Linked DNA regions of Callithrix jacchus. The protein of the gene in region 1 interacts with the protein of each later gene in a pairwise test. Links are inferred from orthologs where the notes say so. Each region holds a gene or a part of one and is shown in the gene's direction. Other genes may lie near its edges. The genes, in order: TRIM39, EIF4A2, PSMD9, UBXN6, MED18, POLI and WDFY3.

The links.
Region 2: the proteins of TRIM39 (region 1) and EIF4A2 interact in binary tests that used the Homo sapiens proteins (3 or more experiments, as listed by UniProt). The two-hybrid records come from large-scale screens. The link is inferred for Callithrix jacchus from reciprocal best matches to the Homo sapiens genes TRIM39 and EIF4A2.
Region 3: the proteins of TRIM39 (region 1) and PSMD9 interact in binary tests that used the Homo sapiens proteins (3 or more experiments, as listed by UniProt). The two-hybrid records come from large-scale screens. The link is inferred for Callithrix jacchus from reciprocal best matches to the Homo sapiens genes TRIM39 and PSMD9.
Region 4: the proteins of TRIM39 (region 1) and UBXN6 interact in binary tests that used the Homo sapiens proteins (3 or more experiments, as listed by UniProt). The link is inferred for Callithrix jacchus from reciprocal best matches to the Homo sapiens genes TRIM39 and UBXN6.
Region 5: the proteins of TRIM39 (region 1) and MED18 interact in binary tests that used the Homo sapiens proteins (3 or more experiments, as listed by UniProt). The two-hybrid records come from large-scale screens. The link is inferred for Callithrix jacchus from reciprocal best matches to the Homo sapiens genes TRIM39 and MED18.
Region 6: the proteins of TRIM39 (region 1) and POLI interact in binary tests that used the Homo sapiens proteins (3 or more experiments, as listed by UniProt). The two-hybrid records come from large-scale screens. The link is inferred for Callithrix jacchus from reciprocal best matches to the Homo sapiens genes TRIM39 and POLI.
Region 7: the proteins of TRIM39 (region 1) and WDFY3 interact in binary tests that used the Homo sapiens proteins (3 or more experiments, as listed by UniProt). The two-hybrid records come from large-scale screens. The link is inferred for Callithrix jacchus from reciprocal best matches to the Homo sapiens genes TRIM39 and WDFY3.

Annotation. Positions count from the first base shown.
Region 1 is NC_133505.1:35,052,398-35,056,580, forward strand, and holds the start of TRIM39 (E3 ubiquitin-protein ligase TRIM39), read left to right. Parts: upstream 1-1,383; 5' UTR 1,384-1,743; intron 1,744-1,759; exon of another isoform or gene 1,760-1,851; intron 1,852-3,699; 5' UTR 3,700-3,831; intron 3,832-4,090; 5' UTR 4,091-4,097; coding exon 4,098-4,183.
Region 2 is NC_133516.1:15,751,232-15,755,217, forward strand, and holds the start of EIF4A2 (eukaryotic initiation factor 4A-II), read left to right. Parts: upstream 1-1,186; 5' UTR 1,187-1,221; coding exon 1,222-1,250; intron 1,251-2,038; coding exon 2,039-2,087; intron 2,088-2,174; coding exon 2,175-2,307; intron 2,308-2,415; exon of another isoform or gene 2,416-2,484; intron 2,485-2,585; coding exon 2,586-2,725; intron 2,726-3,512; coding exon 3,513-3,681; intron 3,682-3,790; coding exon 3,791-3,900; intron 3,901-3,986. UniProt on the Homo sapiens protein: ATP-dependent RNA helicase which is a subunit of the eIF4F complex involved in cap recognition and is required for mRNA binding to ribosome.
Region 3 is NC_133510.1:125,105,493-125,108,992, forward strand, and holds part of PSMD9 (26S proteasome non-ATPase regulatory subunit 9), read left to right. Parts: intron 1-460; coding exon 461-562; intron 563-3,500. UniProt on the Homo sapiens protein: Acts as a chaperone during the assembly of the 26S proteasome, specifically of the base subcomplex of the PA700/19S regulatory complex (RC).
Region 4 is NC_133523.1:4,202,917-4,207,196, reverse strand, and holds the start of UBXN6 (UBX domain-containing protein 6), read left to right. Parts: upstream 1-1,480; 5' UTR 1,481-1,587; coding exon 1,588-1,670; intron 1,671-2,136; exon of another isoform or gene 2,137-2,484; coding exon of another isoform or gene 2,485-2,498; intron 2,499-4,280. UniProt on the Homo sapiens protein: May negatively regulate the ATPase activity of VCP, an ATP-driven segregase that associates with different cofactors to control a wide variety of cellular processes.
Region 5 is NC_133508.1:65,007,660-65,010,635, forward strand, and holds the end of MED18 (mediator of RNA polymerase II transcription subunit 18), read left to right. Parts: intron 1-1,603; coding exon 1,604-2,157; 3' UTR 2,158-2,476; downstream 2,477-2,976. UniProt on the Homo sapiens protein: Component of the Mediator complex, a coactivator involved in the regulated transcription of nearly all RNA polymerase II-dependent genes.
Region 6 is NC_133514.1:97,474,867-97,478,366, forward strand, and holds part of POLI (DNA polymerase iota), read left to right. Parts: intron 1-2,369; coding exon 2,370-2,522; intron 2,523-3,500. UniProt on the Homo sapiens protein: Error-prone DNA polymerase specifically involved in DNA repair. Plays an important role in translesion synthesis, where the normal high-fidelity DNA polymerases cannot proceed and DNA synthesis stalls. Favors Hoogsteen base-pairing in the active site.
Region 7 is NC_133504.1:113,000,769-113,003,494, forward strand, and holds part of WDFY3 (WD repeat and FYVE domain-containing protein 3), read left to right. Parts: intron 1-1,829; coding exon 1,830-1,953; 3' UTR 1,954-2,726. UniProt on the Homo sapiens protein: Required for selective macroautophagy (aggrephagy). Acts as an adapter protein by linking specific proteins destined for degradation to the core autophagic machinery members, such as the ATG5-ATG12-ATG16L E3-like ligase, SQSTM1 and LC3.

The DNA of each region.
Region 1 (4,183 bases):
TACTCGGGAGGCTGAGGCAGAGAATCGCTTAAACCTGGGAGGCGGAGATTGCAGCGAGCCGAGGTCAAGGCACTGCACTCCAGCCAGGGCAACAGAACGAGGCTCCGTCTAAAAGGGAAAGGGAAAGGGAGAAAAGAATTGGACATTCTCTTGTTAATTTCCTTAGTCTAATCACATTCCTGGTTATCTACAAACAGAAAGCCAGAAAGGAGGGCTATCAACATCTTATGCACCACAAATTAACAAATCAAAACCAAAACCAAATCTATCATCACTCTCCCTCTGGAGCCACGGCTAAGGAGGCTCAATGCCCAGTTAGTGGCTTTCAAACTCCCTTACAAGTGAGGCATCTTGTGAATTAGAACAAGCACTGCTGCTAAAATCCCTAACGGCCATATAGCAATGCGAAAAAAGGTATCAAACGTAATTTTCTCATTTAATCTTCATCAATTGTTGGCACCAAAAAAAAAGGAACAGTAAAGAAAAACTAGACTGCTGTAATTAGCATGTGTGATAAATACCTCAGACATTGAATCATAGCTTCTGTAAGTAAATAGTTTCTGGCCCCCAAGATGAAAGGTTAAATAATGCAAGGTGTTTGTAAACAGCAGCACAACTTACACCGGAAACTAGAGCACTTTCTCACCAAGCAGAGTACATCAAAATTTGCTCACCTCTTTCAGTCAACATTCTGCATGACTAGAGTTGGGGGCGGGGAGGCGGAGCTAGCTATCTTTTCTACCAGCCGAATCACACCCCTCCTATCACTAACCCCTCCTCCTCAGCTCCTTCACACCTCTACCCAGTACCAACCCCTCCCCAGCCCCATCACCTCTTCCCCGGCCTCATCACCTTATCCACTTCCACCAAAATCACAGATCTGATAAGCTTCCAGCAGCACGCGAGCAAAACAGGGAGGCTATAATACAAAAGTCCGCAGTCCCTACACAAACACTACACCAGCCGAGAAAGTCAAGTCACAGCCCCAGAAGTGAAAAGAACCGACCTTGGCTCTCAGTTAATCAGCGTTTATCCGGCCCATGTGTTGCGGTCGGATCCCGTGCGAAAGAGCCAAGGACACAAAGGTGAGCAGTAGAGTCGCGGTTCCAGCTCTCTCCCGGCTCCCACTACAGCGGGGTGGGTAATTTTGGTAAATTTCGCCAAGCAGGGGCAGGATAAAGAGCATTTGGAGTCTACTGCGGGGAGAACTTACCTAATCCCTGAATGTTAAAAGGCCAAAACACCACTAGTCGGAAGTGACGTGCCAGCTGAGTCCCGCAGGTCCGCCACGTAATTGGCCGCCGCCACAGCTAGCCACCCTCTCACCGGACTGGCCCGAAGATAGGAAAAGTGTGAAAGTCCACAAGCCGCCCTCGCCCCGCCCTCCTCAGCGACTGCCGGCTGCACCGGGGAGCGGCGGCGCCTGGCCAGGGTCGGGACCTGGAGCCTGGACGAGACAGGCTCGCCGACCCCGGCGCCCGTCCAGCGCCCTGCGGGCAATGGGCTTCAGCGCTCGAGCACGCGCATGCGCGGGCCTCTTTCTCCAGAGGATTCCTCGGGTCACCTGGACGCCAGCATCTCGGCCACCTGCACCTCCGGGTCCCTTCTCGGCCTTGATTCCTCCTGCTGGTTCTCATCGCCGGGCCTCTTTCTTCTTCCGCAGGCACCACTAGACCCTGCTGCGACCGCCTGCCGACACCCTGGGTTCCACTGACACCAGCCTCGGTGCGGCTTCCGCTTCCGGCGAGTATTGTGTGTCGCGCCGCGGGGCGGGGGCGAGGGGAGGAGGAAGGAGGGAGGCAGCGCTCCGGCGGCTCCGCGCCCCGCACTCCCGGACCCGAAGCCGGGAAGGTAGGTGCTGTCCCGCCACCGCGCCCGGGCCTGGGGCCTGCCCCCGCCGGCCGGCTCCGCACGCCGCGTCCCAGCGCCCCGCGACTGCGTCACCGGCCCCCTGCACGTAACCACAGCTGCCTCCGCCCGCCTCGGGCCCGGGCGGACGTTTTGCCGCCCCGGCGACGTCAGCGCGTCCGGCGTTGCTTGGCTACCCCGCCGTTCCCCCGTCCCGCTGCTGCTCACCTCCCCGGGTGAAACTCTGACGCAGTCACCGCGGGTCTCGGCTGCGTCATAGCGGCGGGCATCCCACCTTCACGTCATACCTCTTCCTCACCTGGACACGCATCCCTCCCTACCCTGTCAACCACGACGTCTCCTCTTTCCCTTCTCTAATCCCCCTGCCCCAGATCTGGCGGAAGAAGGTGGAGATGGGGGTGGGACAGAATTATGGACCCCCGCTCAGGAGAGGGTCGCAAGGTGGGACACCCTGAAGAGTGGTAGAAATAAAATGAGTATGTCCCTGAAGTTTGCCCTTCAGCTGAGACACAAGGAGTAGATGGAGAGGAAGGACCAACCCAGAGGCACTCAAGGTCTCACTATGGCTATAGCTCCAAGTCCTCGCTATTCCTCCCTAACCCTTTCCCCATTTCCCTCACCACTTCTTTGCCAGTCTAGATCGTCCTGGTGCATTACTGTGCATACAGTTCTACTCAAGTGAGGAGGCCACCTAATTTGTAAAAGACTGAGGAAGGGGTAGAGTCACCACTAGTTAAAGGTGGATTCCCACAGGTAGAGAACAATCATCTGACTGAACTTCTATTGCTGACAGAAGAAATTCAAGTCCAAAGAAGTTATCAGCTCCTACTCCAAACCAAACACATTTGTGTGTGCCAACCATATATACGGAAACAGTTGTTAACCCACCTCATTACATGGCCACTTATCTCTCAGCACATTGATCTACCAAATTTCCTTCCTTCCATTAGGTCCCTGGATAAAGATGGGGGTCAGGGGGAGAAAGGGTTACGGGAATAGATAAATCAACTTAGGATGGATTGGGGGACCAACCTTCTGTTTCATAAATCTCTCTGATGTATTTCCAGTTCTTCTGAGGCTGCACTTGAGGGAGATCTGATTGCCTCTCTTCTGTCTCTTAATTCCCAACCACTTCAGAACCCATCATGCCCAGGCATTAGTTATCAATAGCTATATGATACACTATGCCCAGGCATTAGTTATCAATAGCTATATTGAAAGATTCCAGTCACTACAAATAGACATGTTCCTCTCTTTTCAAGAAGTTGTTGGCCTGGGCTCAGTAATGTACTCTTTAATGTAGTTGCCATAATTTATCAGTTTTCAGCAGTTCTAAGTGTCCAAATGCACACAACAGAAATGGAATGTTGCATGAAACATTTCATTCCAAGAAGAGGGCATACTTTCTTTAGGCTAGTCTGATAAAAGGAAGAACAATTTCAGATTTTCCTGAAAAGAGGTTGTCACCTTTGCCTCATTCATTCCATTTATCACACTTTAGAACAGTGTTATCTAACCCTTTCAATTTGAGGACTCTTTTTGCTTATCTGTGGTGACTGATACAACAAAAATTATGCCCAGACCTTTTTTTGTTCAAGCTTATCAGCTATCATTAGTGTCAATGTATATTATGTCTGGCCAAAGACACTTCTTCCAATGGGCCTGAGGAAGCCAAAAGGTTGCATATCGTGAGAGAACAATGTCAGAGAATGAAGCTTAGACTCCAGTGGACTTATCATAAAGCTCTTACAACATTAAAATATGACTGATATAAGAAATGTTAATATTTTTATGACTTTTTTACTCCCAAATTCCTTTCTTGTCTATTAGAAGCATATGTCAAACTAGGATACAGTGATCTGGAACTATTGGTTCTAAGATACAAGTGGAATGAGCCTGGATCAGAAGAAGTATGCTGAGCTAGAGTTGAAGGAAGCTTCTCTTTCTAACGAGAAGGCGGAGGTAAGAGACAAGATGGATTAGGGGTTGGATGTCAGTTTACTAACAAAAAAAGTTGATGGTTGGGAGTCACAAGTTTTGGAAGTGGAGAAACAAAGAGGTTGAATTGATTGGAAGAGAAGATGGAGAATAACAAGATGGGGCAAAAATTTGGAGTTAGGACTTAACATAGGGGTAAATGTCAGGCCAGGGATGCAAAAATAAATAAATAAAACGTTCAATTAACATTTTTATTTTCTCTGTGTCCTTCCCCACCCCCAAGTTAAATTATGGCAGAGACAAGTCTGTTAGAGGCTGGGGCCTCTGCAGCCTCCACAGCTGCAGCTTTGGAGAACTTACAGGTGGAGGCAAGCTG
Region 2 (3,986 bases), on another chromosome or scaffold:
TATTTAGAACCAGTAACTTCTATAATATAGAAAACTGAGTCAACTAGTAATCATTCTTTAAGTCGGCCTTCTGAATCAATAAGAAAATGTTTCCCGATAGTCTCGATGATATTTTGCACCATGGGTAGGGTTGTAATTTAAAGTTAAATGACTATATACGTTATTTTTTATTTTTACCGAGGGACCTGAGATGGGGCTAATTGAAAACATCTGGAGCTTAAAGACCCGTGCAGTTTACGCAGCGAGGATATAGCTCTGAATTCCAATAAATCAACATTTCACTATATATCGGCAATCAAAACTCAAAGCCTTTTTAAAAAATGATGAATACAGACGGAATCAAAATCAATGTAGTCCCAAAGCGTCCATTAACATTCGTGCGTTCCAAGGAAAATTACTGCTTCTTGGCTTCTATCCATTTGCAAAAGTTTGATTCTTTTAGGCATTCTTCACACCTGTTAGGTTAGAATCAGCTTTCTTTTTAAGAAAAAGAGAACGAAACACTAGAAGCGATATGAGAATAGAATTGGCTATTCCAGAGACATCTGCAAATGACACTCCCATTTTTTTCCTCGCGCTGCAAAATGTACCGGTAAACCGGACTTTCCGGGACTCGCTGGGTGGCCGACATTTTCCCTAGCAGGAATTTTATGTTTCCGAGAGCTGAATGGATGTTAACGTCAGGCTAGACGCCAGGCAGGTCTTCATTGTCAAATTAAACAGCGGTGGGAGCAAGCGGAATAACCGAATTCCCCTCCCGCACCCGAGCGCCGGCAGCCAGCAGAGAACCGGGACCCCTCGCCCGCGGGAAGCCCCGGTCGCCCAGCAAGCAGCGCCTCCGGCTCCAGCTGGGCTCCTCTGGCCCGCCTCTGCGTCAGGGACGCGGAAACCCCGTAGGAGCTGGGCGGGCGGGGAGCGCGGTGTTTGAGAAACGCTGCAGCGATATTCTTCCGCCGCGAGGCAAAGAGTCCCAACCCAACCCTGGGCCCTAGGATTTCCAGCGACCCTGGAGTATCTAGAAATTGCCACATTTGTATTTTCCTACCGACTTGCTTAGGATTTTATCCGAAGTAATGACCCCAGGATCACAATTTTGTGGCTGGCCGCAGAACGGTGAGAAAATTCCTCCGCGAGAAACGGGTTCCGGCCACGAGCCTATAAAAAACGGGTGGCGCGGTGGTGCTGTCTTTTCAGTCGAGAGCTGAGTGGGTTTATCGGATCATGTCTGGTGGCTCCGCGGATTATAACAGGTATGGCGCTCTGTTGGCGGTCGCGGTCTGTAGTGAAGGTCATAGGGCGCCAGGGGAGGTGATAGTGGATGGCACGGAAACAAGAAACTAAAAATTCATGGACGCTTCCTTGGGGTACAGCACCCCTGTGCCCTTCGAGAAGCTTCCATGATGGGTAGGGCCCGGATTGTGGGGAGACAGGACGAGGGTGCGGAAACAGTGGCCAAGGGGCGTTTTTCCTCCCTAAGACATGAGGAAATTTCAGCTGCTTCCTCTCCCAGTGTAGAGGACGGCAAACAAGCAGCAAAAAGTCTTGGCGCAGACCGTGTTCGGTACAGTGTAACTAGGACCTGAACCTTGTGGTCAACCGCACGACTTGAGGGTCCTAGGCTTTAGTTGGCGAAGGGTTGGAGGCAGCGGTCTGCATTCGGCCACCGCGCGGAGGCGACGGGACCGGACCGGCACTGGTGCCGGCGAACCGTTGGCATCGCCCTCGCCAGGCCGCTCCGCCCGCGTCAATCACCCGGCTTGCGCATTGTTGGGGGCGGAGCTCAGGGCGCGGAGCTCTCGCGAGACGCTCCGCCGCCGAAACGGGAGCGCCGTGCGCTCGGGCCTGGGGGGCTGCCTACACGGGCGGCTGCAGCCCCCAACCTTTAGAGAGGCGCACAGTGTGATACTCGCCGTGCAGCGGCTGCTTTAGGTCGGGCACGGAAGGGTAACGTGCAGAGACGGGTTGCAAAGGGCTATCCCTTTAATATGCAGTTAGGAGGCTTGGAAGGGATGTTGTCTGACTGCAGTGTTATTGTCAGCAGAGAACATGGCGGCCCAGAGGGAATGGACCCCGATGGTGTCATCGAGGTAAGAAACGGTTTTGGATCTTGAAGCTTTGAAAAGGTGAGTGTGTTCATCTCATTTATGCCTGCATTATTTTTTTCTAATTTACAGAGCAACTGGAATGAGATTGTTGATAACTTTGATGATATGAATTTAAAGGAGTCTCTTCTTCGGGGCATCTATGCTTACGGTTTTGAGAAGCCTTCCGCTATTCAGCAGAGAGCTATTATTCCCTGTATTAAAGGTAAAAGAAACTTCGATATTTTTAGGAAATGAATTTTTGTTCTACATAGATCTGAACCATGAAAGGGAAAGTAACCTCTGGGGGACTAGCACCTGTTTGTATTCCTTAAAGTGAAATGATGGCAATCATCTTTCGGGACTGACCTGAAATGAAGAGAATACTCATTGCTGATCACTTGATTATTTGGGCATAATTCATGTTCCAAATGGAATACATGGTGTGAAGTAGAAGTGACAATTTGATGTGGGATCGGTAAATATGTATCCTACTTTTTTTAGGGTATGATGTGATTGCTCAAGCTCAGTCAGGTACTGGCAAGACAGCCACATTTGCTATTTCCATCCTGCAACAGTTGGAGATTGAGTTCAAGGAGACCCAAGCACTAGTATTGGCCCCCACCAGAGAACTGGCTCAACAGGTATTGATAGTGTAGTTCAAAAAAACTGCTTGCGTGTTGCATAGGTTTCAGGTTTCACAACTGTGAAGAATTTAAAACTTAGTATAAATTGGTCCTACCAGATCCCTCCATTTAATTGTCCATGCATGCAGGGAGTTTTTGTTGAAAGTTTTAAAAGAACTGGGTATGCAGGTACGGTTTGTAGGGTTGTACATGAATAGCTTGAGAATCGGAAGCTCTCTGGATATACTAGATCTGTCCCCATTTTTTAAGTTTGAATGCAGTTGTGCAACATGAAAACTGCAGTGACATGTTACCATTTGACTGTCTCCGTAGTTTGTGATGCATCTGTTGCATGCTATGTTTTCAAAGCTCACTGCTATATTGGCTTTGAAGTAAACCTTCCTAATAAAGCTGTAGGCTTTATTGAGGTCAAGATTATGTAGGGCACAATACTCTCTGGGGAAGAAAAAAATCAACATTTGCCCTAGCTGTAATTACAGAACATATATTTCACTATGGATTCCTTCGTTCACACAGTGAAGAATAATGTAGGAAATGTTATTCTTGAATTGTCTAGCTGATGTGTGGGGCAACAGCATCCCAAGTCTGACAAGGCACAAGAAAGACATAAAGGGAATTTTACATTGAAGCAGTTAGGTCAGTGTGCATTTTAAGCTTGGAAGTAGATTTGTGCTGTGCATGCATAAAAGCTGTTGGCAGACCAGATTATATTTGCCATTATGCTTTAAAAATTAGTCATTGACCCTGGAATTCTGCAGGATAATAATTAAGCCTTGGTTTTTAGATCCAAAAGGTAATTCTGGCACTTGGAGACTATATGGGAGCAACTTGCCATGCCTGCATTGGTGGAACAAATGTTCGAAATGAAATGCAAAAACTGCAGGCTGAAGCACCACATATTGTTGTTGGTACCCCTGGGAGAGTGTTTGATATGTTAAACAGAAGATACCTTTGTAAGTATTGTCTTTAAATGTATGCTTTTTTTTTTTAACTGTTACATAGTTGAAAAGTCGTACTATCACCCAGTAGATCTAGAGATGACATATGGCCTTTTTCTAACAGCTCCAAAATGGATCAAAATGTTTGTTTTGGATGAAGCAGATGAAATGTTGAGTCGTGGGTTTAAGGATCAAATCTATGAGATTTTCCAAAAACTAAATACAAGTATTCAGGTAAGGATTACTTCACCCCTCTCTTAAAGAGATGTGGTTTAATGCAGGTGCTGTTACAAATACATCTGGCATGTTTTATTGTCGTT
Region 3 (3,500 bases), on another chromosome or scaffold:
GTGATTAGCCTGCCTCAGTCTCCCAAAGTGTTGGGATTACAGGTGTGAGCCACTGTGCCCGCACTATATCTTGTCTAAATTTTGACCACTGAATAAAATGGCCTAGCCTGGCTTGCCTTCTTTTACCCCTGAATCTGGGTTAGGACCCCAGAGAGCAGCATTTAGCCTTTCCCGTGCTCCTCAAGGCCTTCACAGTGTCTGGTAACTGCCAACTCTCAGACACTGGGCAGACCTGGTCATCTTTACTAGAGCTGCCCTCAAAGGAATGCCAGGGGAAGGTGGCCCCATTACCCACTGCCTCTTCCTGCATGAGGTTTCAACATCCCTTACCTCAGTTTTGGGCCCTCCCTGTAGGAAACAAGTTCGTGACCTTGGCATTAAATTAGGTATTGAAGGTTAGAGAACACCAGGAGCACATTGAACCTCTAATCTGATTTTTCATTTTTCCTTCCCTCTCCAGGGTCTGCAAGTGGATGATGAGATTGTGGAGTTTGGCTCTGTGAACACCCAGAACTTCCAGTCTCTGCATAACATTGGCAGTGTGGTGCAGCACAGTGAGGGGGTGAGTGGGGTTGCCTGGTGTCTCAGGCTGTTTTGGCTTCTCTAACAGCATGCCATAGATTGGTGGCTTACAAACAACAGAAGTTCATTTCTTACAGCTCTGAAGGTAGGGAAGTCCAAGATCAAGGCACCAGTAGATTTGGTGTCTGGGGTGGGCTTGCTTCCTAGCCTCTAGGTGGTGCCCTCTTGCTGTATCCTCACGTGGTGGAAAGCCGGAAATCTGGAACCTTTTGTATAAGGGTACTAATCCCAGTGGTGGCTCCACCCCTCATGACCTGATCACCTTGCAGAGACCCCCCCCCAATATCATCACATTGGCTGTTAGGATTTCAACATATGAATTTGAGGGGGGCACAGAAATCCAGATCATAGCACTCAGCCTCCAGACTATAGCCCTGGAGTTGCTGGGGCAGGAAGTGTTGCTGAGGCCTTGGACTTGCCTTAATGGTGTTGCTCGGCACAGCCTAACTCAAGGCCTTGGCACCTGCTGTTCCTTCTGCCTAGAATGCTCTTCCTCTTCATCCTCCCTCTGCTTTACACCAGTAACATGCTCGCAGGGGGCCTTTCCTGGCTACCTTAACCCAAATTCCCCTCTCCTCTATCCTGTCCCTGTTTTCATTTAGCAAAGTTTCTTAGAGATCTTTTCTTTCTCTTTTTTCTTGCTTTTGAGATGGAGTCTCGCTCTGTCACCCAGGCTGGAGTGCAGTGGCGCTATCTTGGCTCACTGCACCTCCTGGTTCAAGCGATTCTCCTGCCTCAGCTTCCTGAGTAGCTGGGATTACCAGTGCGCGCCATCATGCCTGACTAATTTTTTTTTTTTTTGAGACAGAGTCTTACTCTATCACCAGGTGCCAGGCTGGCATGCAGTGGTGCAATTTCAGCTCACTGCAACCTCCACCTCCCGGGTTCAAGCAATTCTCCTGCCTCAGCCTCCTGAGTAGCTGAAACTACAGGCGTGTGCCACGACGCCCCGCTAATTTTTTGTATTTTTTAGTAGAGACGGGGTTTTATCATGTTGGCCTGGATGTTCTCGATCTCTTGACCTTGTGATCTGCCTGCCTCGGCTTCCCAAAGTGCTGGGATTACAGGTGTGAGCCACTGCTCTCGGCCTTTGTATTTTTAGTAGAGATGGGGTTTCACCAGGTTGGCCAGGTTGATCTCGAACTCCTGGCCTAATGATCTGCCCGCCTTGGCCTCCCAAAGTGCTGGAATTATAGGTGTGAGCCACCGTGCCTAGCCCTTTTCTTTTTAAAGACAGAGTCATGCTCTTTCACCCAGGCTGGAGTGTGGTGGCACCATCATAGCTATCACACTGGCTAATTTTTTTATATTTTGTAGAGATGAGGTCTTGCTATGTTGTCCAGGCTGGAATTTTTTTTGGTGTTGTTTTTTAGCAAAGATCCACACTTATCAGGAGTGATATTTTGGGAAAGCCCAGGGAAATTATTAACTAAAGTTTTTTGTTCCCAAATGAAGTCTCCAGTTTAACCAACAGTTTTTGTGTTTTTTTTGAGACAGTCTCGCTCTGTCGCTAGGCTGGAGTGCAGTGGTCGGATCTCTGCTCACTGCAACCTCCGCCTCCTGGGTTCAAGCGATTCTTCTGCCTCAGCCTCCCAAGTAGCTGAGACTACAGGTGCATGCAACCATGCCCAGCTAATTTCTGTATTTTTAGTAGAGATGGGGTTTCACAGTGTTGGCCAGGCTGGTCTTGAACTCCTGACCTCGTGATCCACCCGCCTCGGCCTCCCAAAGTGCTGGGATTACAGGCGTGAACCACTGCGCCTGGCCCAGTTCTGGGTTTTTTGACTCCTGCTCAGCTGCACTGCTCATCCTCTTGTAACCCATCAGTGCAGGCTGGGCTGGGTCAAGTCAGGAGACAGCTGGCTATAACCCATCAGTGCAGGCTGGGCTGGGTCAAGTCAGGAGACAGCTGGCAGGGGCCTGTGCCCTGCCTAGTGGTCAGGCCATCGTTTCTGCACCGATACTGTCATCAAATTTGTAATTCATATGGACATTTAAAATGGTGATTTTGCTGGGCGCGGTGGCGTGTGCATATAGTCTCAGCTACTTGGGAGGCTGAGGCTGGAAGATTGCTTGAGTCCAGGAGTTCTGGGCCGTAGCGCGCTATGCCGATTGGGTGTCTGTACTGTTCAGCATCAATATGGTGACCTCCCGGGAGCGGGGGGACCACCAGGTTGCCTAAGGAGGGGTGCACTGGCCCAGGTCTGAAATGGAGCAGGTCAAAACTCCAGTGCTGATCAGTAGTGGGATTGATTGCACCTGTGAATAGCCACTGCACTCTAGCCTGGGCAACATAGCAAGACCCTGTCTCTTAAAAAAATAAAAATAATAAAAATAAAATGGTGATTTTGTAAAATTTATCAGTTTTTTTGCTTATGGCTCTTGCATTTTGTGTCTGCTTAAAGAAATTCTTTTTAATTCTCTTATTGGTTTATTTTTATTTTTCCTTTAGTCCATGTGAAATTTATTGTTATTATTATTTGAGACAGTCTCACTCTGTCACCCAGGCTGGAGTGCAGTGGTACAATTTTAGTTCACTGCAACCTCCACTTCCTGATTCAAGTGATTTTCCTGTCTCAGTCTCCTGAGTAGCTGGGACTACAGGTGCCTGCCACCATGCCTGCCTAATGTTTGTATTTTCAGTAGAGATGGGGTTTTGCCATGTTGGCCAGGCTGGTCTCAAACTCCTTGCCTCCGTTGATTCAACCACCTCGGCCTCCCAAAGTGCTGGGACTACAGGTGTGAGCCACTGTGCTCAGCTTATTTTTACTATTTTTACAACAGTTTGATTGAGAGTAATTCACATACTACACATTCACCCCTTTAAAGTAGTTTTCAGTGTAGTCACAGAATTGTGCGACCATCACAATTTCACATTTTCATCACCTGTCCTCCTGAGGCAGCCACTTTCCAGCCAT
Region 4 (4,280 bases), on another chromosome or scaffold:
ACATCTGCCTTTAACTGAAATACTGTGTGTGTGTGTGTGATGGAGTCTCGTTCTGTCACCAGGCTGGAGTGCAGTGCTGAGATCTCGGCTCACTACAGCTTCTACCTCCCGGGTTCAAGTGATTCTCCTGCCTCAGCCTCCTGAGCAGCTGGGATTACTGGCGCCCTTAGAGACAGGATTTCACCATGATGGCCAGTCTGGTCTTGACCTCCTGACCTCAAGTGATCTGCTGGACTTGGCCTCCCAAAATGCTAGGATTACAGGCGTAAGCCACTGCAACTGACCCCCAATTCCCTTTTTTTGAGGCTTAACTGTCACTTTATCTTTCTTTGCAGAATGCACAGCCCAAAGATGCCACTATTAACTGGTTTCTCTCTGTCTTGCCCGACAAAGTGGATCCCCAGGTCCCAGTCAAGTGCATTGTATTCAACAGCTCCTAGATAAGGTGCATGGGCTGGGGTGGGGCGGGGGGCGGTCAGGGACCAAAACAGGGCCAGATCGTGGGGGCCTCCAATGCCCCACATTGAATTGGGACTTTATCACGTAAGCTCTGAGCAGACAGGGAAGGTTAGTTTTGTGTTTGTTTTGTTTTGGGCAAAATCTCTCTCAGTGGCCCAAGCTGGAATGCAATGGCTTCATCACAGCTGACTACAGCCTGGACCTCCTGGGTTCAAGCAATCCTCCCGCCTCAGCCTTCCAAGTAGCTGAGACTATACAGGCACGGGCCACAACTCTCACCTAATTTATTTATTTATTATTTTTTTGACACCAAGTTTTGCTTTTGTTGCCCAGGCTGGAGTGCGATGGCTTGATCTCAGCTCACCACAGCCTCCAACTTCCGGGTTCAAGCGATTCTCCTCGCTTCATCCTCCCAAGTAGCTGGGATTACAGGCATGTGCCACCACGCCCGGCTAATTTTGTATTTTTGGTAGAGACGGGGTTTCTCCGTGTTGGTCAGGCTGGTCTCGAGCTCCCTACCTCAGGTGATCCACTCGCCTCGGCCTCCCAAAATGCTGGAATTACAGGCGTGAGCCATCGCGCCCGGCAACAATTAAAAAAAAAAAAAAATTTATGGAAAACATGGTTTTGCCATGTTGCCCAGGGTGGTCTCCAACTTCAGTCAAGCAATCCTCCCACCCGATTCCCCGAAAGTGCTGGGATTGCAGGCGTGAGCCACCGCGCCCAGCTTAGGTTGAGCAGCGAACAGGTCAGGGCCCAGTACTTTCTCTGCGAGGTTCAGTCGGCCTGTCCCTCTCCCATCAACGTTTGTCACCGTTTATGGAGCCCCACGGAAGGCGCCAGGCAAGGCACTGTAGCCAATCTAGAAGCGCGCTCGTCGCCCTGGCAACGTAGTCCGGCAGAACCACAGAGACGCGGCTCCGGCGTACAGAGCGTCCGCCCTGGGCCGCGAGGCACCGAGCCGTAGAGCGGCACGCCGGGCTGATTGTCACGTGGCTGGTGTCGGAGAGGCGGGACTTCCGGCGGCCCGGTATTTTTTTTCCGGTGGTTGGTCCTGGGCGGCCCCTCCCCGACTGGGCCCCGTGCCCCCCGCCCCTGCGGCCCCCAGCCGCCGGGCCAGCCGCCACCATGAAGAAATTCTTTCAGGAGTTCAAGGCCGACATCAAGTTCAAGAGCGCGGGACCCGGTCAGAAGCTCACGGACTCCGTGGGGTGCGTGAGGATCGCTGGGGCTTGAGGCCCTGAGGGGCGGGGACGGCCGGGGAGAGAGGTCTGGGGCCTCGAGGTGCGCGGGAGATCGGAGGGCGAGGGGCTGAAAGCGGCGGCGGCGAATGAGGGAAACGGGAGAGGTGCCGGGGGCGGGGCAAGTGGGGCCTAGGTGGGCGTCGTGGGCGTCAGGGGGAGGGGAGAGCGGAGAGCGGCCTGGGGGCGGGGCAGGAGGGCGTGTGGGAGGGACCCGGGGGCGGGTCGGGAAGAGGCGGGGGAAGGGGCCAGGAGGGTAGTTGTCAGTGGTCGGGCCTCGGAGGCTGTGGCGGGGGTCTAGGGCGACGGGGCTGCAGCAAGTTGGGAGTCAGTGGAGCGACCCTGGGGGAAAAAAGGGATGATGAGTCCGGAGGCGGGTGGTGAGGGAGAGGTCTGGGGACCCGGCTGGTTCTGAAGCGGCCCGGATGATTTGGGGGAATTTGGGTGACCAGGGATGGGAGCTGAGCGTGGAGGAGGACACACACTGTGGGGCATCCATGGGAAGAGGGGATGTGGGCTTGGGATCTGGAGCACGTGGGAGGTTGACGACAGACTAGGAAGTCTGGAAGGCCAGGGAAGTGGTGGTGGGCAGAGTCGTCAGTGACCTGGGAGGTCCCTGCGAATTGGGAGTGAAGGGCTGAGAACGGTGTGCGAGGAGACTGGAGGTGAAGGACTGACAGATGGTGGTGGGAGGGGAGGGAAAGGAGGTAGCTGCCAGGCCTACTTCTGGATTGTCTAGGGAAGACTTCGAGAGAAGGGCCTGGGCAGGGCTAAGCCAGCTGGGATGGCACATGGAAGGTAGGGGAAGAGGTGGAACCGGGGACAGTGTGAGGCTGAGGGCTGCTGGGTTGAGAATAGGGAACCTGGAGAGCTGGGGCCGCTGCAGGGAGCTGGCTGGCCAGGGAGTGGTGGGGACCGACGGAGAGTGAAGGGGAAGGAGGTCAGCCAGGCTGCCAGGGCAGGGGTCTATAAGCAATAATGGAAGGGATTGTGAAGAGGTGGGGCTGGGAAGGGGTAGGAGGAGATGCAGGGAGGTGGCAGGAAGTGCGGGTCAGGGAATCACGGGCAGTGGGGTGGTGATGGAGGGAGGGCCATAGTGAGGACGTTGGGGTTCCTGGGGGAGAGGCTGAGCAGGAAAGCAAAGGAGGGAGAGGGGTCAGGGACAGAGGGGTCAGGGAGAGAGGTGGGCAAATGGGGGGAGCCCTTCATTGATTCAACCAATAGTGGGTGAACGGGGTACTAGAGCCACTGGGACTGGGCGTGACAGGAAGGATCCAGGGTGTGAGGGCGATGGCTGGATCAGCCCAGAGCCCAGGCATAGGGGGGAAGATTGGAGCGGAGGGGCGGGCGGGAAGGGACGGGAAGGAAAGGAAAGGCGTGCAGAGGTCCCTTTTGGAGTGATACTCCAGGGTGTGTGGGGCGGGTGGGCACCAAGTCCTGTTTTGGGCTGCAGTGGCGGACAGGACAAGGCGGCTGCTTTCCCAGGGCTCACCACCTAGTGGGAGCCGATTGGTAAATAAACCAACAAGCCTGGGATGAGAGCTCAGGCAGTGCCCAGGGCCTCGAAATAGGGTGAGCAGGGACCGCCAGGTGGTCCGGGAAGACCTCTGCCAGGACAGCGAGACTTCAGCTGTGAGGAAATCAGCCCCCTCCTTCTCTCCCTGTGGTAGCCCTAGCCCTTTCCAGATCCCCTGACCTCCTCCCACCCCCCAGGAGAACATTCTGGGCAGAAGGCGCAGACAGTGCAGGGCCGTACAACGGGGAGCAGTTGGGGTGTGGGAAGAACGACAGGGAGCCCAGGAGAGATGGGGCCAGGCCAGGAAGGGCTCTCTGGGCCGAGGGAGGCCTTAGGATTTTGCAGTGGGAGGACATTATGCAGTGGAGTGACGCTGACGTTCCCTGAATGAGGTTCCAGAAGGGTCCCTGTGACTGCCCGGGGGAGCAGGGCCCACAGCCGGTTGGGGTGAGGCACCCTGGGAAATGCTGTTTTGTTGGAAAGACCTAGATATGGGATGGGGCCAGGGTGGGTCTTCATGAGTCATCTCTTCCACCCAATCTGCTCAGCTGCGGGAGGACGGGATAGGCAGGGGTGGGCACGAAGCAGGTTCCGGAAGCCTCCAGAGGAGGAGGGAGGGCTTCCCGGGAATCTGAGCAGAGCCAGAGGAGTATAGGGCTTGAACTGAGAGCCTGGTCTCCTGGAAGTTTTTACAGATCTATAGCATGGAAAGTGACAGCGCCTGAATTCACGGGAGGGGCCTGAGGAGATGGGCGAGACAGACGCATCCGAGCAGCTGGGAGAGAGGGCTGCTCTGCCAGGTCACTGTGCTCAGAGGATTACGGAATCCTCCTTGGCAGAGGGCTCCACAGGGCAGGGCCGTGATTACCTGAGCTCTTTGTACTTGCACAGCCCTGAGCCTGGCATGGAGTCACGTGGCCAGGGCAAGGCTGGTTCTGTTGTCAGCTGACCCCAGGGTCTTGACACAAGGGTGGCGTGGCATGGGGTACATCACCTGGACTTCTCAACAACCCTCTTGGGTTTGGGAACAGGGGATGGTGAGGTCTCCCTGACAGCTTGTTAGG
Region 5 (2,976 bases), on another chromosome or scaffold:
ATATGCTGAAACCCCAACTTGAAAAAAAAAAAGAAGAAGAAGAAAATTAACTTTACTTGCAGTGAGCCAAGATTGTGCCACTGCACTCCAACCTGGGCGACAGAGCGAGACTCTGTCTCAAAAGAAAAAAGATGACACAAATGTCACATAGGGAGGAAAAGAGTATTGATACAAGAGAGGACTAATATTGAGTCCTAGTCCTCCAGTGTTTAGGGAAGATGAGAAACACCAAGCAAAGAAGACTTAAAAGGAATGGTCAGCGAGTTAAGTGAAGAACCAAGAGAGTTGTGTCTCAGAGGCCAAGGGAAGAATAGATTTCACAGTGGGTATAATCTACTATAACAACCATTTCAGATGTTGCCAAGGGGATGAAGATTCTATGAAGCAATTAATTCTCTCCTACTTAGATACAGAAGAGGAAAGCTTTTCCTGATAAAAAGGAAACTTTAGCTGGGCGCGGTGGCTCACGCCTGTAATCCCAGCATTTTGGGAGGCCGAGGTGGGCAGTTCACGAGGTTAAGAGATCGAGACCATCCTGGCCAACATGGTGAAGCCCCATCTCTACTAAAAAATACAAAAATTAGCTGGGCATGGTGGTGCATGCCTGTAATTCCAGTCACTCAGGAGGCTGAGGCAGGAGAATCGTTTGAACCCAGGAGGCAGAGTTGCAGTGAGCTGAGATCATGCCACTGCACTCTAGCCTGTGACAGAGCGAGACACCATCTCAGGAAAAAAAAAAAAAGGAAACTTTATATTTCTTCTATAAATGAAAGACTTTTATTTGTTGGAAATTGAAGGCAATTGTTAAAGTATATGACAACAAAATAGTGTTATTGGCTGGGCATGTTGGCTTACGCCTGTAATCCCAACACTTTGGGAGACCAAGGCCAGGAGTTCAAGACCAAGCTGGACAACAATGTAGTGAGACCCCATTTCTATAAAAGCAAATAAATAAATACATAGCTAAAACAGTATTATTAATTTTTTTTTTTTTGAGATGGAGTCTCACTCTGTTATCCAGGCTGGAGTGCAATGGTGCGATCTCTGCTCATCAAAACCTTCACCTCCCAGATTCAAGTGATTCTCCTGCCTCAGCCTCCCGAGTAGCTGGGATTACAGGCACGCGCCACCACACCCAGCTAATTTTTGTGTTTTTAGTAGAGATGGGATTTCACCATGTTGGCCAGGGTAGTCTCAATCTCCTGACCTCAGGATCTGCCCACCTCAGCCTCCCAAAGTGCTGGGATTTCAGGCATGAGCCACCATGCCCAGCCAGTATTATTACATTCTAGATAGACACTGTAGCTGATTAAAGGCTCTAAGTCCAAGGCATGTTGGAAATTAGCATTAGAGAAGGCCTAAAGACTTTGTAGTACTAAATAAGAAAATTCCAAAAAATTGAAAAGGAAAATAATAACTGTCTCACAACGTTATACAATATTTTGCTAGTGTAACTCCTCTAAAATCTCATGTGTTGGCCCTATGTGTTGTGAAATGCTTCACTAAACTGCTTTGGTTTTTCATTTTAATTTTTTTCAATTTTATGCTAATTCCATGACCTAAAAGGAAAGATAGGACTCAGAGGTGCTTTTTCCCTTTTCAGGAAGTGTTTTAGATCACAGTTTGGAAAGCCTCATCCACCGCCTTCGTGGTTTGTGTGACAACATGGAACCTGAGACTTTCCTTGACCATGAGATGGTATTCCTCCTTAAGGGCCAGCAAGCCAGCCCATTTGTTCTAAGGGCCCGACGCTCTATGGACAGGGCAGGGGCACCCTGGCATCTGCGCTACCTGGGACAACCAGAAATGGGAGACAAGAATCGCCACGCCCTGGTGCGAAACTGCGTGGACATTGCCACGTCTGAGAACCTCACCGACTTCTTGATGGAAATGGGCTTCCGCATGGACCATGAGTTTGTTGCTAAGGGACACTTGTTCCGAAAGGGCATCATGAAGATTATGGTTTACAAGATTTTCCGCATCCTGGTGCCAGGGAACACAGACAGCACTGAGGCCTTGTCACTTTCCTATCTCGTGGAATTAAGCGTAGTTGCACCCGCTGGACAGGACATGGTTTCTGATGACATGAGGAACTTTGCAGAGCAGCTAAAACCTCTGGTTCACCTAGAAAAAATAGACCCCAAGAGGCTCATGTGACTAAGAGAATCTCTCCACATTTGGGGCCTGTCCTTACTTGTTTGAAAAAATGTTTTAAATGCTCCATTTCACCACTGCCAGCATTCTTCCTTCAGGGAGGAGGATGCCTCGTGATGATTTCGTTTTCATGACAGCCTTTCTACATTAAAGGCTCAGGACATCACAGAGAATCTATCTAATCCCACTGTATAAAGAGGAGAAACTGGAGTAAATTAGGTTTTGGAAATAAAAATTTCTTGTTTGGCCATTTGTGTGTAAGGTTTATAACATTAGAGGCTGTGAGCTTGTGCTATATGGTAATAAAGGCAGTGGCCTCGAATTTTGTTTAGGAAGTCTTTATTTACCCCTAGGTAACACAGATTTTCCTTCTTAGCTTTATAGTTTTAACTTTCACATTGAGATCTTTAATTCATCTAGAGTCCATTTTCTAGGGGGTTTATAAAAACCCAGGTTTCTTCTCCTGGCAGTGAATTCGTTTTTCTACCACCATCCAAAGAACAGTGTTCAGTGCTTTGTGCTGCTACCATTGTCACATAGGTTTCCATGTAGGTATTTTATTTTTAAGTTCTCCATTTCATTTCATTTTTTTTCTTTGTTTCAGTGACAGCAACACAATGTTTTTATTATTAAGGCTTTATAGTAGAGCCAGTTCTACCAGTAAGGCAGGTACCCTTCCCTTTTTGTCCTCTAAAATGGACTTACAGTGTAGTGTAGTAATATTTCAAAAAATAATAATAAAAGAAAATAGACTTAGCATCCAGGTATGGTGGCTCATGCTTATAATCCCAGTACTTTGGCAGGCAGGACAAGAGGATTGCT
Region 6 (3,500 bases), on another chromosome or scaffold:
AACTTTATGCCTGTTGTTGCTACATAATTAATAATTACACTTCCTTTCACTCAAAAAATGTCTTGTTTTAGATGATAAGTTATATGGTTTCCCTGCATAGCAATGGATTATTAGGCTGTTACCAGATTTTTGCTCTTAGGCATTTTCTTGTAGAAATGTTGGCATATTTTTAAAGGGATTTCCATAAGGTAAGTTCCTAGAGGTGAATTGTTGGATCAAACATGATTTGCATTTCAATGTTTGGATACTGTTATATGTTACACTTGAGGTTTCCCAGCATATTGCTGGTATATGTGAGAGTGTTAGATAAAAAGTCTTTGCCTGATAGGAGAAGAGGATTGTTTTGACTTGTAGTTTTTCATGAGTAGGGTTGAGTATTTTTTCATATATTTTTGGTCATTTATGTGTTTTTTTCTGTTAACCTATTCACTTGTACCTGTTTTTTATTTGGGTTGTTCATTTTTTTCTAAGTACTAAGTACTTAGTACTTTTTTATGTCACTTTTTTTGTGAAAAAAGTTTTTCTTTTTTTAAGTTATTTTATCAATTTTTCCTTACAGTATTTTTCTGAGTTGAAGTGGGAACCTAGCCAATTAGTCCTTTACTGTATTTATCTCTGACCTGTTTATGATATATAACCTTATTATTTATTTCACATATTTATTCTACTGCATGTATACCTTTCTTCAAGGTAGTTTTTTTCCCTCTAATTAGAAACTCCTCCTTTGAGCCTTGTATAATGACATGTTTAATAATGTATCTTGCTTGTGAAGTTGATACCAAGAAAGAGGTTAACTTTAGGGATGGAGGCTGGGCATGGTGGCCTACGCCTGTAATCCCAACACTTTGGGAGGCTCTGGTAAGGGGATCATTTGAGGCCAGCCTGGGCAACATAACATAGCAAAACCCTGTCTCTACAAAATTAAAAAAAAGAAATTAGCTGAATGGTAGCATGTGCCTATAGTCCCAGAGGCTGAGGTGGGAGGATTGCCTGGGCCCAGGAGGTTAAGGCTATAGTGAGCTGTGGTGTGCTACTCCACTCCAGCCTGGGCAACACAGTGAGACCCTGTCTCCTTAAAACTAGCAACAGCAAAAACCTTCAGGATTGGGATAATTAGGGATTTGTCTTGTGACCTAAAATCAATCAATGTTTAGTGATCCACCAGCTTCATGTGTGATTCTGTATTTAACTTGTTTTTCTACTTAGTACTTAAACCTTACCCTTTATTTTTCTTATATAGTATTCTTTTGATAAACTCGTTTGTTTTCTACATCTTATTTTGCATGTCAGGTATATGCTTTTGAAACTAAATTGCAGAAATTGATAAAGGAAATGCAAAACAGTCATTTTATATGATCAGACATGTTGTCAGTCTGTCCTGAGAGGAGGTAATGGTTGTCTCTAGGTAAATCAGGAGATTTTTGGTGTTCACCATGTCACATTGTTATCTTTATTGGTTTCTCCTTATTGTCAATGCTGACATCAGCCAAACCAAAAAGCACTTTTGGTATTTGTGGAAAAAACAATCTGTGTGGAATGACATAGTCCTTTTATTTCTGAGCTTCAGATTATACGACTTTAAGGATCTATGCATTTTGTATATTAAGAGACTTGCATTTGTTTTCCCTTACCCAGCTGGTGTCGGTAGGTGATTAAGAGTGAAGTTAAAAAACTTTCTCAATGATTTTAAAGTTATTAGTCTCAGTGTTAATATATGAAAATTGATAGTTCTTTTGAATTTATTTTGAATTTTGGTTCAATTCAATAGAGTAAACATTTGACTTAAGGACTAGATATTGTGCTAGATGCTGGGAATTGGAATATCTGTAAGTTGTGGTTCATCTCTCTCTGTCCTAAGTAATACGCTTGGGAATGGCTAACAAAAATACCATGTTACAGTATAATTTGAAAGTTGACTGACTTTCTGTTTTATTTAGTAATAATTGTAACTTTTAAATGTTATTTTGTTTTGCCTCATTTAAACTCTTGGGAAAATATAGCTAAAATATACTATTATAAGCAGCCTATAGTTTATTCTTTGACACATTTCTTCAAGGTCATAAATTTACTATAAACATTGATATTTAATGTACTACAGATATAAAAATTATAGGTCTGGAAGATTTAGCTAAATATGTTGCCATGAACTGCCCTAGGAATGTCATTTTTAGATGTTTTGGAAAATATTGCCTCAACTTAAGATGTGGTACAGAAAGAATTCAGTTAACTGAGGGTTTTATTAAAGATATTATGGAACTATGAATGTATATAAAACCTTTAACAATAAATTTGATACATTTTTAAGCACCAGTTAAATTTATCCTAGTTATTATTATTTATATCTGTGCTCCAATATTATTTCAATTTAGAATTACTGGAAGAATTTAGTCCAGTTGTTGAGAGGCTTGGATTTGATGAAAATTTTGTGGATTTAACAGAAATGGTTGAGAAGAGACTACAGCAGCTGCAAAGCGACGAACTTTCTGCAGTGACTGTGTTGGGTCATGTATACAATAATCAGTGTGAGTGGGCTCTTATTCTACCTACTAACTAAAAGTACATATATTTCTTAATGTTCAGTGAGTTTGCTGTGTGATTCTGAAAGATTCATGACTTTTGTTGGAGGTATAGTTATATTTAGTCTGTAATCTGTCTAGGACGGCTAAAATTAGGTGTTGCTATTCTATAATAAGTATTAAAATTTTCATGATGTGGCTCAGTGCTCTGTGCACTTTTCATTTGCACAGAACATTGTTCCTGTTCATCTGCACAGAGCATTCATCTGTGCAGAGTTTTTATCTGACAGTGCATCTGCTCACATTTTAGAAAGCCATACCCAGCTGGGCACAGTGGTGCACCCCTATAGTCCCAGCTACTTGGGAGACTGAGCTGAGAGGATTGCTTGAACCCAGGAGTTTGAGTCCAGCCTGGGAAATAGAGCAAGATCCCATCTCTTCTTTTTTTTCTTTTTGAGACAGAGGTTTGCTGTTATTGCCCAGGCTGGAGTGCAGTGGCACGATTTCAGCTCACCATAACCTCTGTCTCTCAGGTTCAAGTGATTTTCCTGCCTCAGCCACCCAAGTAGCTGGGATTATAGGCATGGGCTACCATGCCCAGCTAATTTTGTATTTTTAGTAGAGATGGGGTTTCTCCTTGTTGGTCAGGCTGGTCTCAAACTTCCAACCTCAGGTGATGCACCTGTCTCGGCCTCCCAAGGTGCTGGGATCATAGGCGTGAGCCACCGTGCCTGGACGATCCCATCTCTTAAAGAAACGAAAAGCCAAACCTCTTCAGGTCATTCTTTTTTCTTTTCTTTTTTTTTTTTTTTAGTTGTAATTTTTAAATTTTATGTCCTTGCTGTCATGGACAGGAAAATCTGCAAAATTCAGTGACTAGCATAAGATGACATGTCTTTGATGAGAGTGATATGAAGATAGTGTTAGGGCTCTGTAAGGATATTTACATGCTAATTAAGCTTTCAGACATCTTAAGACTCTGCA
Region 7 (2,726 bases), on another chromosome or scaffold:
AAACCCCGTCTCTACTAAAGATACAAAAAATTAGCTGGGCATGGTGGCGCGTGCCTGTAGTCCCAGCTACTCGGGAGGCTGAGGCAGGAGAATTGCCTGAACCCAGGAGGCGGAGATTGCGGTGAGCCGAGATCGCGCCATTGCACTCCAGCCTGGGTAACAAGAGCGAAACTCCGTCTCAAAAAAAAAAAAAAACCTATAATGGGTTTTATAGAGCAGGCCTGTCAAAGCACAGAGCCACTAGTCATATATATATATATTATATTCTGGTTTTTTTTTTTCCCTTGAGACAGGGTCTTCCTCTGTCACCCAGGCTAGAGTGCAGTTTGGCACAATCACAGCTCATTGCAGCTTTGCTCTCCTAGGCTCAAGCAGTCCTCCCACCTCAGCCTTCCAAGTAGCTGAGACTATAGGAGAGAGCCACCACACCTGACTAATTTTTATATTTTTTGTAGAGACAAAGTCTCACTATGTTGCCCAGGGTAGTCTCAAATCCGTGAGCTCAAGCAATACCTGCCTCAGCCTCCCAAAGTGCTGGGATTCCAGGTGTCAGCCTCCACACCCACCCTATTAATATAGTAATTTCTAATAGCATTCTTGTATGTAAGCTGGCATACATCTGTTCTTTGTAGTGTTTACTTTTCAAAATATTGTTTAAATATAGGTAATTCTTTGAAATTATTAATTGCCATTAAATGTTGGATAGAAGCATTATTGGAAACCGACCAAACCGTGATAAGTTCTAATGAAGCAGGCGCAGAAGGAAGCACTGTCCCGAACACACAACCTGTGGTCTCTATGGCTGAGAGCTGTTGACACTTTTGAGGGTTCTGTAAGGTCCCGTGACAGTTCTTTAAACCCATAAGCATATATTACTTAATTTACTCTCTGGACGCTTTTATTGGTAGGTTAATGGACTAAACATAAATCTGCATTTCCAGGCCAGGCACAGTGGCCTCTGTCTGTAGTCTTAGTACTTTGGGAGGTCAAGGCAGGAAGATCACTTGAGGCCAGGAGTTTAAGGATAGCCTGGACAACGTAGTAAGACCCCATCTCTACAAAAATGTTTTTTTCATTTCTCAAGTGATTTAATACCACATCCTGAATCACACCCAGCTTTATTCCAGGAATAGGAACTCTGAATACGTCTTAAATACTTTGAACATCTCTTAAGAATAGTTTCCTTCAAATAGTTCTAGTAAGATAAATAGGAAATGAGGGTATTGGGACTGGAAAAGGAAAGCCAGTTTAAGAAATTATTGAGGAGTGGATCAATCAAAATGTTTAAAACCACAGTGGAACTTGATAGTGATCAAACTGTCGTATTTCTCTTGGAAATTAGAAGACTCACTAATGAGTCATTAGTAATTCTCTTGAAATTAGATACTCATTAGCTCACTAGTGAGTCTTCAAATTTCCACTAATGAGTTTTTCTAATTTCCAAGAGAAATATGTCAAGCTCCAAGAAAAGACACTGACATACCTTTCAAGCTTATAGGCCATAAGAATAGTCTGCACAGATAGAATGGCCTCACACCGCTGTTCAGACACCTTGGCCTTATTGTGTAGGAAAATCTTAACTTTGTTTTTCTGTTTTCATTTTTTCAATTTTCTTCAAAGAAATAGCTTCCCTGGTTTAATACTACTTTTCTTCATAGACTGAAACAAATAATACAGCATTCCTTTTAGTCCTTATTCAGCCACACGACCCAAACCAGTATGGCCTTTGGTATTTTACTGCAAGCTTTCCATTGAATTACTAATGTTTCTGGTGCCAGTGATCAAGCATGGAGAAGACCTATAATTCATTGACTTTTCCTTTCATTTAGGTGCAGTCGATTTCAATCTGAAATCAAACGCTTGAAAATCTCATCCCCGGTGCGTGTTTGTCAGAACTGTTATTATAACTTACAGCATGAGAGAGGTTCAGAAGATGGACCTCGAAATTGTTGAAGATTCAACAAGCTGAGTGGAGACCACGGTCTGTAGACCCCTTCCCGATTCTCCTGTCCCAGCTTGGAAGGCATTGAAAACAGTCTCCGTTTACACATCTCTTCATACCACGTGTTTGAAGTATTAAAATTCAAAGGGATCATTGAATAAAACGGGTGTAGAGTACAGGAATGGGGCAGACGCGATTCAGGTGAACAGCACAAGAAGAGTATGAGGTGTTTCCTAGGAACAACATTTCTGATATCCAGTTCTCCGTGATGACAGTAGCTGTCTCCAAGCTACTTATTAACTGTCTTTTCTTGCATCTCATTTTTATAGAGCTACTCATCCTTATTTGGAAAAACCAACAACAAAAAAGGCTTTTAGAAAATGGTTGTAAATCTTACTTCTTTGCAAGTAACTATGTATATTGTAAATAGATATAAAAGGCCTTTTTTCTAAATAAGGACTTAACTGCCTGTAACATGAAACTTCAAACTAAACCACTAACTCAATGAACAACTTATGGTTTGTCTGACATCCCTCGCTTACCAATTAATTATAAATATGTTTTTTTAAATCCCCAAAGACATTATCAGTGGTCTTTTTTTCCTTTCCAACTCAGCCTGTGTGCCTGATGTCATTTCTTTCAAGTTGCTCACAGTATCTCCACTTAAACTAGGCTAGTAACCAAAATAATGTGGACCTTCTTTAGGAAACAGTGTGGGAGAATAGAAGTCCGGCTGTAAGGTAAACTAGGAATATTTGGGCGTCTTGTACCTGGCTACGTACCA